Rhinolophus ferrumequinum: one gene and its partner. The protein of the gene in region 1 interacts with the protein of each later gene in a pairwise test. Links are inferred from orthologs where the notes say so. Each region holds a gene or a part of one and is shown in the gene's direction. Other genes may lie near its edges.

What was found.
Region 2: the proteins of CIB3 (region 1) and TACC3 interact in binary tests that used the Homo sapiens proteins (3 or more experiments, as listed by UniProt). The two-hybrid records come from large-scale screens. The link is inferred for Rhinolophus ferrumequinum from reciprocal best matches to the Homo sapiens genes CIB3 and TACC3.

The regions. Positions count from the first base shown.
Region 1 is NC_046301.1:49,780,210-49,787,125, reverse strand, and holds the start of CIB3 (calcium and integrin-binding family member 3), read left to right. Parts: upstream 1-3,900; 5' UTR 3,901-4,050; coding exon 4,051-4,101; intron 4,102-4,293; coding exon 4,294-4,328; intron 4,329-6,015; coding exon 6,016-6,127; intron 6,128-6,916. Other genes in the region: protein FAM32A, read right to left, coding at 1,675-1,816, 1,919-1,992. UniProt on the Homo sapiens protein: Acts a an auxiliary subunit of the sensory mechanoelectrical transduction (MET) channel in hair cells. Plays a role in regulating hair cell MET channel localization and function.
Region 2 is NC_046288.1:87,242,412-87,249,831, reverse strand, and holds the start of TACC3 (transforming acidic coiled-coil-containing protein 3), read left to right. Parts: upstream 1-4,417; 5' UTR 4,418-4,550; intron 4,551-6,046; exon of another isoform or gene 6,047-6,107; 5' UTR 6,108-6,108; coding exon 6,109-6,270; intron 6,271-6,412; coding exon 6,413-6,552; intron 6,553-7,420. Other genes in the region: TMEM129 (E3 ubiquitin-protein ligase TM129), read right to left, coding at 418-666, 798-957, 1,632-2,106, 3,643-4,180. UniProt on the Homo sapiens protein: Plays a role in the microtubule-dependent coupling of the nucleus and the centrosome. Involved in the processes that regulate centrosome-mediated interkinetic nuclear migration (INM) of neural progenitors.

The DNA.
Region 1 (6,916 bases):
GTCAGACCTTATACCTTTTCTCTGTCACTGTTGCTCCTCAGAGGAGGTCATCCAGTTCTACAGCAACTCCCCGATGTTTATCTGGGGCTCAGATCTCTCCACTAAACTGCAGATTCAGAAATCAAACGCTCCACGAGAATTCTCCACTTGGATTACTAAAAGGGACCTCAAAGTTGACTTCTCTAAAACCAAGGTCTTGATCCCTCCCTTTAGAAACCTGCTTCACCCACAGTCCTTCCTATCTCAGTAAATGGCACCTTCCTTCACCCAGCTTCTCCTGCCCAAAATCTTGGTCATCCTTGATTCTTCTTTCCCAGCCCACACGCAACACGCAATCCATCAGCTGATCCTGCTGTCCTTCCTTCCAAATCTATCCCAAATTCGATACCTTCCATAGCTTCCACTATTACTGCCCACCTCTAAGAAGCCACTATTAATCGCACTGTAGGTTGCATTAGCCTCTTCCCCACTCCATTCCTGCTCCAGGAGTTATAGCCCAAGCCTGCCTCTGATTATAACTGTGGGAAGGGACTTAAGTACATTCACTTGTTAAATCCTCACCAAAAACTTACGAGGTAGGGACTTAAGCCCCACTTTCCTGATGAAGAAACTGAGGTGTGGGAGCTTAGCCAACTTGCCCAGAGTTACACCACCAAGACTGGAACCCAAAAGACAGTGCTTCTCATCTCTCTCTCTCTCTCTCTCTCTCTCTCTCTGTACTACTGAATTAAGCCTGAGAGCAATAAGTACAATTTTCCCCATGTCACTTGACGGCATCACCCAGACCAAGATTAGAGTTTTTCAGCCTGGTGCTTTGACATTTTGGGTACTGCGTTCTTCCCTGTAGGGGCACTATCTTGAGCACTGCAGAATGTTGAGTAGCATTCTGACCTCCACCCACTAGATGCTAGCAGCTCCCCTCCTGAGTTATGACAAAGAAAAATGTCTCCAAACATTGCCAAATGTCTTCTTGGGAAGGGAAGTAGGGGGACAAAATGGCCCTCAGTTGAGACCTATTAGTCCCTCCCCCCAGCGTAACGGGCCAAGCTTATCTAACGTTGCCCCCTCCTATGCCCCACCACCCACATTTATCGATATTTAGAAAAATAACAGACACTTAAAAACAACATATTTGAATCTGCCAACGAAGTCGTCACGGGAACAGAGTTTGTGGACACTTACAGCAGGGAGCACGACCATTTAACATCAACAGCTAACATCAACTGAGCAATGACTTTATACCAGACCTAGTGACAAATGCTTTACATGCCATCACAAAGCTCCCATTCCTTTTAGGAAAAAGTACGTATCTTGACCCCTACAGATGAGGAAACTGGGGCACGGAAAGAAGATGAGTCACTGGCCCAGTGTCACAGGGCAAAGGAGCGACAAACCCGGTCTCCAGCTCTGGCTCCTTTCAACGCCATCTCTAGCTCTCCCCTCTGCTGTCCCCTCGGGCTGAAGGTCCTTCCCGTTGTCCGAGCTCCCTCAGACGCGGACTCTTCCTCTTGCTCAGCATCTTTCCCCCGGAATTAAGATCATTTCTGACCGCTCGCCCTCCTCCAAGCATCCCGGGACTGTCCCGGTTCCGAGTCTCCGGGCTTTTCCTAAGCACCCACCCCGGAGACCCAGGCCCGCGGCGCGGGGCATCCCCAGCCTTTCCACCCGCCTCACCCGCTTCTCCTGCATCTTCTCGAAGGCCGCCTGGGCCGGGGTCCGCTTGTCCAGACCGCGCCGCTTCTCCTCCTCGTTCTTTTTGCTCGTTCCCATCGCTTCCAGGAGTTTCGCCTGGTCTTTGTCCTTCTTTTTCTTCTTCCTGGGAGGGAAAACAGAAGATGGAGTGAGGGCGGCCAGAGAGCAAGAGCCCGGGGTGTCGGAAAAAGGCTTACGGGGCAGACGATGGGCTTTCGGGACTCACCGCTTGGTCACGCCGACCTCTGCAACGCCTTTCAGCTTCAAGGGCCCCTTTTGGACCTGCTCGTAGGACGCCATGACGCCTGTCTGCAGTTCGCCAGGTAAACTGCCACACTTCCTGTTCACTGTTTCCGGAAGAACGCCTGCCTCCCTTGGTCTTGAGTGGCCCAGCTAGGCGTTGCGCATGCGTCCTTGGCCACACTTCCGGGTTGAGGGCTGAGCCTGCAGAGTCAGGCGCTATGGGCCACTCTGCACCCTGTGCCACACTTCCGGCTTTGGGCCCCACTTATGGTTTCTCCGCTTTTGGGTTCCTCTAGACAATTGAAACCAATTTGACAAACTCCAATTCTTAACACCCAACGCTTTTTTGAGTGTTTTGCATGTATTTGGATAGCCTGTTCTTTTTTATTGCCATATTTTGACGGTTCAATGGTTAATACGCATTTTAATTTGTACTGTTGCCCAAATTGTACCAGGGACTTGGGCAGGGTGGTGGTGGGAAAGGTAGGGGATGAAGGAGGTAGAAAAAGCAAGCATCCCCAAATCTAGACGACACTGGACCAAGGAGGGCTCGGTGCCTGCATTTCCCAGTTCTACCTGCAGGGGGCAGCAAGCGGCTGCCCAATTCTCCAGCCAAAGTCTCACCTTTTAGCATTTCAGAATTGGATGAGAATGCCAACAGAGAACCATGGGGGACTGCCAGCCTGTGCCAGCTTCCTCATGGGTCCATCCATGGTAGAATCAACTCCTCAGAGAGGGACACAGGAGAAACTCAAGTGGAGAAATCTCTTCTCCCCAGCCAACCCAGCAATTTTGGAGCTCGTCTACAGCGCTTCCAAGACTGTGTGCCCTGGAGCAAGTGGCTTGAAGTCTTTGAGCTTCCCTTTCCTCATAAAATGGGGGTGATGAAAACAACAGCTAATACTTTATATGGATTTACATGGATCATCTCATTTACTCTCACAGCCACCTTGTTACATAAACCATCCTGATTTTATTAGAGGAACTGAGGCACAAACTGGAATCCAACCTATGCTGAGTGTTCCATCCCTGCTTTTGTCACGACACTATGAAGCCATCCATCGTAGATGCATCAATATTTTACAAACATTTAAGACAGTATTTCTCAACCTTTTTTTCATTATCAACACCTAAAGAGAACACTTTAACTTAAATTCACTTAATAAGAAAAGTTAAATACTGATGAATAAGATTTTATCAGGGAGGGTAGAGCTTTGAAGGGCCAGAAACCATTGAAATATCTAAGGTTTTCTTGTCCCCACCCTGAACCAATTTTTTGTCTCCTTTGGGGTAATATTACTTCCACTGATAATTAATGTTCTAAGGGGAAATGTCATATGAGGTGTTTCCCATTTGAGGCTATTATGAATAAGACATTCATTACAGGTTTTTGTATGAACATAAATTTTCATTTCTCTGGGACTGCGCAAGAGTGCAAGTGCCGGGTCATATGATAGTTGCATGTTTTGTAATTTTATTTGATTGTGGCAAGAACACTTAACATGAGATCTATTGTCTTCAGAAATTGTTAAGTGTACACTACATTAATGTTGATGACAGGTACAATGTTGTACAAGTTTTTCATCTTGTTTAACTGAAACTTTATGCCCAGTGATTAATAAGTCCAATTTTTTGGTTGCATTAATGCCCTCATTAGATCTCAGAACAACTCTATGAAGTAGGTACAAAAATAATTTCCATCTTACAAAATGAGGCTCAGAGAGGTCAGGTGACTTGCCTGGGGCCACACAGCTAGTGGGTAGAGAACTAGTATTTGAGCTGGAATATGCTTGAAGCCTCTCCACCATAATGCCTGTCTCTGGAAGGTGCCCCCTCCCCCCAAGCCCACCTGGTGATGGCAGATGTGGTCTGAGGCTCTGTGACCTCCCACAGACTTTCTTCTTGCCCTGGTGGCCGTGGACATACTCAGACTGTTGGCCAGAGAGCTTGGCTGTAACTTGAGTCTCACCCAGGCTTGGGGTGATGGGGCGGGTGGGCGGGTGACAGCCAGGGCAGGGAGATTTGCCTAGACACTGGTGCGTGGCAGCCTGGCAACCGTGTGGCCCTGAGGAGCCTGGGGGCTTCAGGAGCCTGTTCCTGGCGGTGGCCTTCATCATGGGCAACAAGCAGACAGTCTTTACTCATGAGCAGCTGGAAGCGTATCAGGTGGGAGTAATGTGTGGGGCAGCTTTGGTTTCCTGGCCTGAGGAATGGGGGCAGCATCCCTTGGTCCTGGGTGGGCAGTCAGCAAGGGTTCCTGGTGCAGCTCTGTGTGTGGCATCGGCAGAGATGAGCAGGGGGAGGTGGGGAGAGGAAGCCCGGGTAGGGGCTGGGCCAAGCCAATGTCTCTCTCCCCAGGACTGTACCTTCTTCACGAGGAAGGAAATCATGAGGTCAGTCTGGGGAGGAAGGGAGGAAGACCCGGAAACAGCTTTCTATACGGTATTGGAGGATGTTTGGAATTTGACAAGGGCCAATGCTTCGTGGCAGTTAGAGAGCTAATGGTCAGTGGACAGAGGCAGAGATGGGGCGGCTGAGAAGCCACATCTGATCTTATTGTCTCGCCTGTAGGCTGACGAGCTTGGATTTTCTCCCAAGGGTGGCAGGGAGTCATGGAGAGTGTGTGAGCAGGGGAGAGACAGGTCAGCATGTTAGAAGGATCCCACCCCCCAGGCCTGTGTGAAGAGGCTGAGACTAGAGGCTGGGGGCACAGCTGCAGAGTCAAGAGGCAGCTCTGGGCTATGGGGTTGACGTCAAGGGGAGGGTACAGGGAGGCGCCCTGAGGCTGTTTCAGGTCCCTGGTGTGAGCGAGACAGACATAAATGGGTATCCCACATCATCACTTGGCCCAGGGAGCCATTGTCCAGAGGCCCTGACCCAGGAACTTGGAGCTGTGAAACCCAAGCTGGCCAGGGTTCGGCTGCAGAGTGATCGGGGCCAAGGGCCCAATTGTGTGGGCAACGGACATCCATTATTGATGGGCACACCTTTCACCAGTGAGCCCCATTGTCTGGGCGAAGACAGCTCGCAGGGTCACCCCGGCTATGATGATCGAATTACTGATGGGGAAACTGAGGCTCAGACAGGGGAGGCTGACCCCAACTCTGCAGATGGGATGAGTCCCAACGAGTTTGAGGGCGGATATTTCGTCTATCCCAAGCTTCTCGCTTGTCAGACAGACTAACTGAGGCTCAAAGGAGAAGAGGGACTTGCTCAAGGCCGTACAGCACCTCAAACTCGGGCTGTCCCTGGAGGGGACCCATCCGGTGGTCAAGACCGGATTCCAGATACTCCCTTCCTTGAGTACCTAGTCACCGTATGACCCAAAGGCTCCTGTCCCCTTCTGAGACAGTCTCTAGCAGCGTGGGGACTTCTCTATTAGGTCATCAAGGAAAATCTCTATTAGGGTGTTGCTCAGGGGCCCAATGAAGGAATGGTGTCACCAGGTGAGTGCATCATAGTTCAGAGCTGGCCTCCCAGTCGAGGTAGTGGGTATGGCATTTGGTGTTTTCCAAAATGCCTTTCAGTTACCCTTTTGAAAAGCCTGAATATTAGCCTTTGTCTCTGCTCTGCCTCATTGAGGGAATCCTGCCTCCCATTATGGAGGGGGAGAGGGAAAATGAGGAGGAGGGTCTTTAAAAACATGGTCTTGCTGACAAAGTGATGACGTCCAGAGATTCATAGGTCGGTTCAGATTCTCTCAATGCTTATTGTGAAATGATCTCGCCCTACGCACTCTCCCTTCTGTCAAGCCCATTTGCCTGGTGAGCTCCTAGTCATGCTTCCAAACCCAGCTCCAATGACCCCTCTTCCAGGAAGTCCTTCATCCTGTCTGGCTTGCTTCTCCGAGTCTGGTGTCCCCAAGCTCTGGGACTGTCTGTCTACCTTGGCTTTGTCCCCAGGGAGATAGAGGTGCCTGTGTGTTGCTCTGTGTGCCTGAAGGCTGGGCCCAGGACTGATGGCTCTTAGGGACCCAATATCCTTCAGTGTGGAGTGAGTAGCTGCAAGAGTGAGAGAAGAGGGACAAGTCCCCTCCCTCCCACCTCCCAGCACTTCCTGGTATTTCCCTCCCTACACTAGGCTCTTCTATCGCTACCAGGACCTGGCCCCCCAGCTTGTCCCCCTCGACTATACCAACTGCCCTGATGTGAAGGTGCCCTACGAGCTCATCGGCAGCATGCCTGAGCTGAAGGTATGGCCGGGTCATGGGGCAGGCAGGGGGAAAACACTAGAATTCCTTTGCTGCATGCCAATGAGGTGCAATGATTCCCATTTTGCAGACGAGAAAACTGAAGTACAGAGAGGTCAAGACACTTGTTCATGGCCATGAAGCCAGAACATGACAGAGACAGGATTCAAACCCTGGGTTGTTGGGAAGATGAGATGAGATCATGCTTAGCACAGGGTTTGTTGTATGGCAAGTACTCAGGGAACGTTAGTTCTTTTCATCGTACGAGCTGCTAATGTTCAACACATGGTTTGAAGGGGACTTGTGGAGTGAGTGACTGTGCCTAGAGATTATTGTATCACAAGGGACAAAAAGCTTACTCAAAAGGGACGCAATGGATTAGATCGCATGAGCAAAAAATCCAGAGGCAGGGCTAGCATCAGGTATGGCTGAAACCAGGGTCTCTGAGAATCTCTTTCCATCTCTCAGCTCCTAGGAAGAGGCCTCATTTTCAGGCAGTGTGTATGGCATTTGAGGTAGTGGATGGAGCCCTCAGAGGCCCCAGGTTTCCTCCTGTCAGCTCTACAACCATCAGAAAGCAGGTCCCTCCATCCCAATTTCTTCAGAAAACCTCCCAGGGCAGCCTCCAATTGGCTAGTTTGAGTCATGTGCCTATCCTAGAGCCAATCACGGTTGCCAGGTAAATGGAAGTCTCTGATTGGCCTCACCCAGGTCTTGTGGCTGCCGCTGCAGATGGAAGTGGGGTCAACACCACCCAGACCACAGGGACAGAGAGTGGAGTTGTCTGAAGTT
Region 2 (7,420 bases), on another chromosome or scaffold:
TAAGGTCCTCAGAGCAGCTTCCGTGAGGCCAGCAGCCGGCTTGGGAACAGGAGTAGGAGGACTTATCATGGCTGGTCTTGGACGAAACTGCGTCTGGCATATAACCAGCAGGTAGACGTGCTCCATAAAATTAAGGCAAGTGGCCCAGGTTAGGGCCATCTGGGAAAAGACAGCTCAGGGGCCCCTGGAATCCTTCGGAGATAGGCCCAAGGCGGTTTTCTCTGTGACAAGCACCCACCCGCACGGGAGGAGTGGGAAATGGAGGCAGCAGGAGCGCTGAAGACCCAGTCCATCGCCACCGCCTGAGCTTCAGCAGAGAACTTCCTCTGTAGAGAGGATGAAAGCCCTCATCCTCCTGCAATTGGGGGAGCCCTGGCCTGGAGGCAGCGGTGGGGGCACTGGCAGGGGCTGGCCAACTCAGCGCACGGCACACACGTCCAGGATGCAGAAGCGCGCACGGCAAGTGGGGCAGGGCACGCGGCTGGCCAGCCAGGTGTCAGGGCGTTGCGGGTCCTGGCGGCTGGCGAACCACTTGCCCATGCAGATGAGACACCACATGGGGCGGCAGTAGCACTGCTGGCACTCGCCTTCGGCCGCCTCCTGGCAAGTCTTCACCAGCTTAACACTGGCACGTGTCTGCATGCAGCCGATGCATGCCTCCAGTTCCTGCGGGCAGCCCAAGGGGGTCACAGGAGCCTGGCTGGACACCCCCATAAGGCCCCCAGCCCCCCAACCAGGGGACCTGGCCTGTGGGGATCTGGCTATGGGAAACTACCCGCCCCCGCCCAGCCCCCCACCTGGCTGCTGGGGACCGAGTAGGCCGGATTGGCATCCACCAGGGAGGCAAACGTGTCCAGGAAGAGGTCACTGAGGCTCTGGCGGATGACCACGTGGGCCGCACTGCGGATGGGTGCCCGCAGCTTCTCACACAGCTCGCCATACTCCGTGGAGTTGAGCCTGCACGAGGCAGGGGCCGGGTTAAGTCCGCTGGGCCAAGGCTTCTGTTCCCAGGGGGCCTGGCAGGACCCTGGGGCAGGCATAGGGGAGGCCGAGGCTGTGCCCCGAGGGTGATGGAGGGGCCCACAGCCACATAGAACATGAGGACCCAGGCCCAGCCCACCTTCCTGGTGAGAACCAGCCAGCAAAGATGGCCCTGAGGCCAGAGCCCACAGACCCGGCACCACATGCTAGCCCCCACGGGACACAGGAAGGGTGGGAGGACTGCCGCTGAGACACAGAGCTTTGGGCAGGTTCCAAGTCGTGTCCTAGGAGGGGCCCAGCAGGCCAGCCATGGCCTGAGAGATGGAGGACCTCAGCTCCAGCCCAGGCCCCACAGGTGAGGCAGCAACACACCTGTGCTGCCCAGCTCCCAGATGTCGCAGTGTGCTCCCCTGAGAAGCTATGGAAGCAGCTCAGAGGACAACGTGCATGAAAGGGGAGCGGAGGATACCTGTGGGGGCAAGAGGGGGGCAGGGGGCCAGGGAGGGGCCCTGAGGGAGGGTCACACTGGAGGAGCCACTCCCACCCATCACCACCTCCCAGAGGGACACAGACACCGGAATGGGGCACAAGCTGGGCACACGCCCGCCCGTGAGCCCCAGCCCGCCCTGCCCCACCACAGGTGTGCCTACCTGATGTCGAAGGCCTGCACGGCAGGGCTGGCACTGGCCACACGGATGGTGAGGAGCTGCACAGGCAGGTTTGAGTCCGGTGACAGCTCATGCTGCTGTGACTCTGTCACAGTCAGGTGCACATCCTGTTGCTGGGCCACGTGCACACGGTATGTGGTCACTTTCATCACCCACGTGTCCGTCACGATTACACGGGCACCCGGCGCCCCAGTGGCAAACTTATCAATCCGCCGGAACTCAGTGTTGACTGAGGAAGCAACAGCCCGCCAGCCTGACTGCGGGAGGGCATAGAGGGCCAGGGTGCGGGCCAGTGGGTGGCGGGCCCACCGGTCCCGGGACCAGTTGTAGGTGAGGCTGCAGGCGATGGTGGGCAGGGTCACCGCCAGCAGGAGGAAGAGCTGCCAGGCCTCAGGGGCCTGGCTAGGGGAGTAGAGCCGCTTCTCCGAGGCTGCAAAGCACATGCCCATGTAATAGCCTGCAAGGGACGGGGCGGCCTCAGCAAAGGTCGCATGCCAGGCCCTCGCCCTGCCCTGGTGGTGCTCACCAAGAGCTGCAGTGCTGCCCCTGCACCACCCAGGGGGCCACTTCCTTGCGTCCCCAGCCCTGGGCCTGGCACTCTGCCCTGGTCAGCTCCCAAGGTGAGGCTGTGTACCCGAGGCCAGGTGAGTCTCACGGCTGGCCAGGTTCAGCCCTTGCCCATGGCACTGACACAATAAGTGAAGGAAAAGCATTTTTAATTTTCACACAATACGTGAGTACGGAAAACTAGAAAAACCTAGAAAGGCAAAATAAATACTAGGATCTGGTGTCACCCTCTGCAGAGCTGCCCACTGGCCCCCATTGGCCTCTTGACCCCACACCCTCTGAGGAGGCTTATCCTAAGCTGGCCCATCATGTGCCAGACAGTAAGCAGAGAAGGATGGGGGCACCTCAAAAGAACACAGGAGCCAGTGCCCGGGCCCCTGCAGGCCAGGTGGGGGCCATCTGCAAGTCAAATAAATGAATGAAGCAGATAGCGAGCGGCTGCACAGGCAGGTCTGAGATTGCAAACCTAATAGTAAACGTTTGCTGTCGGTCAAGTCACTACCTTTTAGGATAATTTGTTAAGTTGCAATAGGTGTTCGATCTAGAAGCCTCAAAGCTTTTCAAAATGAATTTAAAAACAGCCCTGTGTCTGGGCACCACCAGGCTTCACCACCTCTTCCATGTGTGGCCACCTTAATCATGCAGACACCTAAATTCTGGATTCCCACAGACAGCCCCCATGCACTTGCAGCCTCAGCCCAGCCCCCTTCCGGCTGCTCTCCACGTCCGCAGGACTGCTGTGCCCAGCTGCCAGGTGAAAACCACTCCCTGTGTCCACAGGGCTGCAGGTGGGGCCGGCCACCAGCCACCTGCTGTCCCAGACCTGCTTCTGCCATGTCCTCCAGAAATCCTGACTAGTACCCCACTCTTTAGCCAGTCCCCCGACCAACCGGAAGACAGACTGGCCTCCCATGGGCCAGCTAGCACCTGGGTCAGCGCCCAGCACAGTCTCTGGATAACCACTGAGCATACTGGCCAAACACAGGCTTTCCAGTCTCTGCACCTGTGACACCTTCACGTGGTGTCAACCATCTCTGCCTGCCCTTTCCACACCCACCTTCCATGGCCTGGGCAAGGCCACCTCCTCCCTGTGTTGGAATCAGTTAATTTGTGCTCCTCTCCTGGGTAATGCCACCCACGTAACATTTGGCGACCTGCCCCAGCTGGGGGAAACATCCCCTCTAGGGCTCTGCCACCTGCAAACGTCCAGCTGTCGCCGGCTGTAAACACACGGGCAGTCGGCCCACAGCCTCGGCTCTCGGGGCGACCGGTGTTCCCGGCATTCTCTCTGACTATTCCCCAGAGGGAGGTGACCCCGCGACCCAGCCACCTCAGGGGCCCTGGGGCTGGGCTACGCGAGCCCTTGACCCGGCCAGCTGCCTCCGTCCACCAGGGGAACAATGACCAAGAGCATCAGGCGCCTCACCCAGCGGCAGCAGCGAGTGGCACAGCAGCGTGGCAGCCGTGCGGCGCAGGTGGTAGGGCACGAAGGCGGCATCCTCGCTGCCCAGCCAGCCCGACAGCAGGTTCTGCACCGTGAGCCCGGCCGAGTGGAACTCGGTGGGCGTGAACACGAAGCACACGGCGAACACCAGGTAGGCCAGCGTGAAGGTGACCTCGGGACTGTCCATCGCGCCGCCGCCGGCACCACCAAGCCGTCGGGGCAAGGCCGCCGCCCACGGCGCGGGGAACAGGCCCGAGCGTCCGGGTCCCGTAGGCGCCGGGGGATGGGCGCCGGGTACTGTGGGAGATGGAGTTCCCGTCCGCGGGGCGCTCTGGGAAATGGAGTACCGCCCCGGGCAACGCTGGGCGCTCTGGGAGACGCAGACCCCGCGGAGCACTCCGGGAAATGGAGTTCCCCCGCCCCGCACACTGGCGTAATCTGTGAACCCGCCCGCCAGTCCTCCAAGGGTTTGGCTCCTCCTCACGCCCCGCCTTGAGGGCGGAGCTGTACCTGGTCCCATTTTACAGCTGGGTAAACTGAGACCCGGACGAGCGGCTCAGGCCCCCCCTTTCCGCTCAACCCAGTCACGTCCGCAGCAGAGCCCGAGAGCTCTGGTCGACGGCGGGGCCTGCAGCCGTCGCCCGTCCGCCCGCTCGGCGAGCCAAGGTCCGGGAGGCTTTCCGACTCCCGCCTCGCCCAGCGTGCCCCTAGCCCCGGAAGCGCAACCGACGGCGCGGCCTCCCATTGGCCGCTGGCGCCCCGTGCGTTCCGCCCACGGCCGCGAGCTGATTGGCCGCGCGCGCCAACCGTCGGTATTTGAATCGGCGGCGGGCGGACGCACCCGGGACTCCGCGCCTCCCGCTCCGTCTGCTCCGTGCGGCGGCCGGCAGGTAAGGCGGCGAAGTCCCTCCGGTCCCTCTGGCGTCAGGTGGGCGCTGGCCGACCCCCACCCCTGTCGCTAACTTCCCTCTCCGGCCCCTCCCGCGGCTACTCCTCGTGGGCCGCCGCCGGCACGGCCGCTTCTTCCCGGTCCCCGCCGCCCGTCCTTGCCGCCGCCCTTCCAGGCACATCTCCCTGGTCCTCATCCCACCAGCCCGGCCGACGCTCTCCGGCTACTTCGTCTCCTGGTCGCCCTCCAGAAGGGTCGTCCGTAGGGCACGGGCCGCAGGCCTCCTGCGTCCCCCTGGAGACCTCGTCCAGCCTCAAATTCCACCTGTAGCGGCGACTTGCGAGGGCACATCTCCGCCCCGCCCGCAGCCCCCTGCTGGTCCCCCACCCGACTTCTCATTCCCGGCTGTGCCTGGCCTGCCTCCCTTCTCTGGGGGCGGCCCACCTGGGAGCCATTTCCATCACGGCGACACCTGGGCTCGCGCCCTCCCCACCACAGCACTCCACGCAGGCAGCTTCTGCTCGGGAGCTTCTCCCGCGGTCTCTGTCGTTAGTAGAAGCCAAAGCCCTGATAGAGGCCGCCATCGCTGTACTGCCCCCTCCCCCCCACTTATACCGGTTACACCGGCCAGAAACCTCAGTCACCCTTGTCTCCTGTCTTTCTTCTTGCACAGTGCGGTGGGCCTGCTGGCCACGCCAGGGCTGGCCCCTCGGCTTGGGCCCCGCTCCTACTCCCTCCAGGGCCCCTGGTCTTGCCCACCTCCCACTCTGACCTTGATTTCCAGGCTGCCCCCGTGCTGCAGCAGCCCCCAAGGCCCCCACCATCAACAAGTTCCGGTAGTGCTCTTTGAGCAGGTCGGTGCTCAGCTCTATGGCAGCTCCTAGTTTGGGAGTCATGGCCGTGACCGTGTGGAAGACTCTGGCAAGAGTGGGCTGTTCTAGAACCTTGTGGGCCTGACTGGAGGCCCCTGGTGTGATTCTGAGATTCCAGGACCTCATATAGAAGGTCTTCAATGCCCTGCTGAGTAATTCTGCCCGTGGCTGCTTGTTCCCTCCAACTCCTCCCCTGGGCCTTTGCCCTCCTGACACCTTCTTCTGGTCCCCCTTTTCCAGCCCCGTGAGGGTGACGGAGCAAGCTTCAGCACCCTTCTGCTTTTCTGTTCTCTGCTGACTTGGCCACCTGCTCCAGCCCTGATGAGGCCCCGGCCCCCTGAGTGGAGGCCTGTGGGGAGCCCCACCCTTCCTCTCCTGCAGTTTCTCCAGGCCAGCACTTACCTGTCTCCTTACCCACCAAATCTGACTTAGTGCGAGAATCCGTTCTTCCTCCTTACCCTGTGGGCTGAAGGCCCTTCTAGCTCTTGGTCCTGGGTGGTGGCAGCTCCCCAGCCCAGCTAAAGAGCCACAGTCCCCCAAAGCAGGACAGGGACTGGTAGAGGACACGCTGCCTGAGGTGTGACCCTCCTGTGCTGGACGGGTGCATCTCCCTGTGACACTGCAGGGTCAGCTGTCATCACGTCTGCACGACGCAGCCCTCAAGCTGACAGAAACTGTGTTTCCAGAATGAGTCTGCAAATCTTCAATGACGAAAATGTCACTGGTGACAGAAGTACAGAAAACTGCGACTTCCTGTTTTCACCACTGGAACTTACCGGAAGATCCTCTGTTCTCTGTGTGTCACAGAAAGAAAATGTGCCGCCCAAGAGCATAGCCAAAGCTATGAAGGTAAACGTTTTACCCATATGAGACCGACCGTGTGTCACTTTGGGACCTGGTGACTTACTGAGCGGGCGGGGCACACAGCACTGCCAGCGGGGTGGTTGGAAACTTGAACTATTGAACAGGTGCTCTCCGCCCTCCCCAACAGGTGACTTTTCAGACACCTCTGCGAGACCCACAGACACACAGGATTCTAAGTCCTCGCATGAGCAGCAAACTCGAGGCTTGCTTTGGTGTGGGCGACACCATTGGATTAGAAAACTCACAAGTCTGGACCGAGAAAGAGAAGTAAGTGTCGGTGCTCTTGATGTACTGCAACATCTCTGATGACTTGGCAGGAAAACGCTGTTGGCTATCTGTCACGTCTGTGGGGCTTCTCCTGGTCTCACTCTGAGTGTGTGCAGCGCGTGGCCCAGAGCAGTCGGCACCAAGTCATGTGTCAGTGGAAAGGTGGATAGTGAGCTTGTTTCAGATGCCACTCCCCTGTCATGCCCTTGCCACCAAAGTGGCCTTGGTTGTTGCTTCTCTAACTTCCTGAAGTGTCCTGACCATGTCTCCAAGGAAAGACATGCTGTGGTTTTCTTGTTTTGCATTCCACTGGGGTCTCCCCTGCCCCATGTTCTTAATATCAGGCCGTAGAGATAGGTGTTCCTTTTGGAGACAGAGGAGTGTCTGTCGTGGAATCTGGTCAGAATACAAGTGGCCGAAGGGATTGGGTTTTGAACACTTGACTTTAACCAGGAAAAGCTTCTTGGCGGCCTCGCCAGGCATTCACTGTCTGGCTTGGGTATTTGGAAAGAAGGGTCCTGGAGGCAGCTCTTTACCCCCAGAGTGGGCTGATAGGGGGGAGGGGCCTCACTGGCACACTTTTGAGCTGACTTCTATAGATTTAAACTGTTCAAAACTTGCCTTTATACAGATTTCAGACGTACAGAGAAAGGTGTACAAGCAAAGCATCACTAACATATCCTTCTCCTCACTTAAGTAAAACGCCCACAAGGCCCTGCTGCCATCTCCCCATGGAAGCTTCTTGAATCAATCTTTTCCTCTCCCCAGGTTTCTGTGCTACTTTTCAACTTCACTATTGTGGTTTTCCTTTTGAGATTCAACTGAAGGAAATTAGAGTCATTCAAATATTGTTGTTTGTAACAACCCA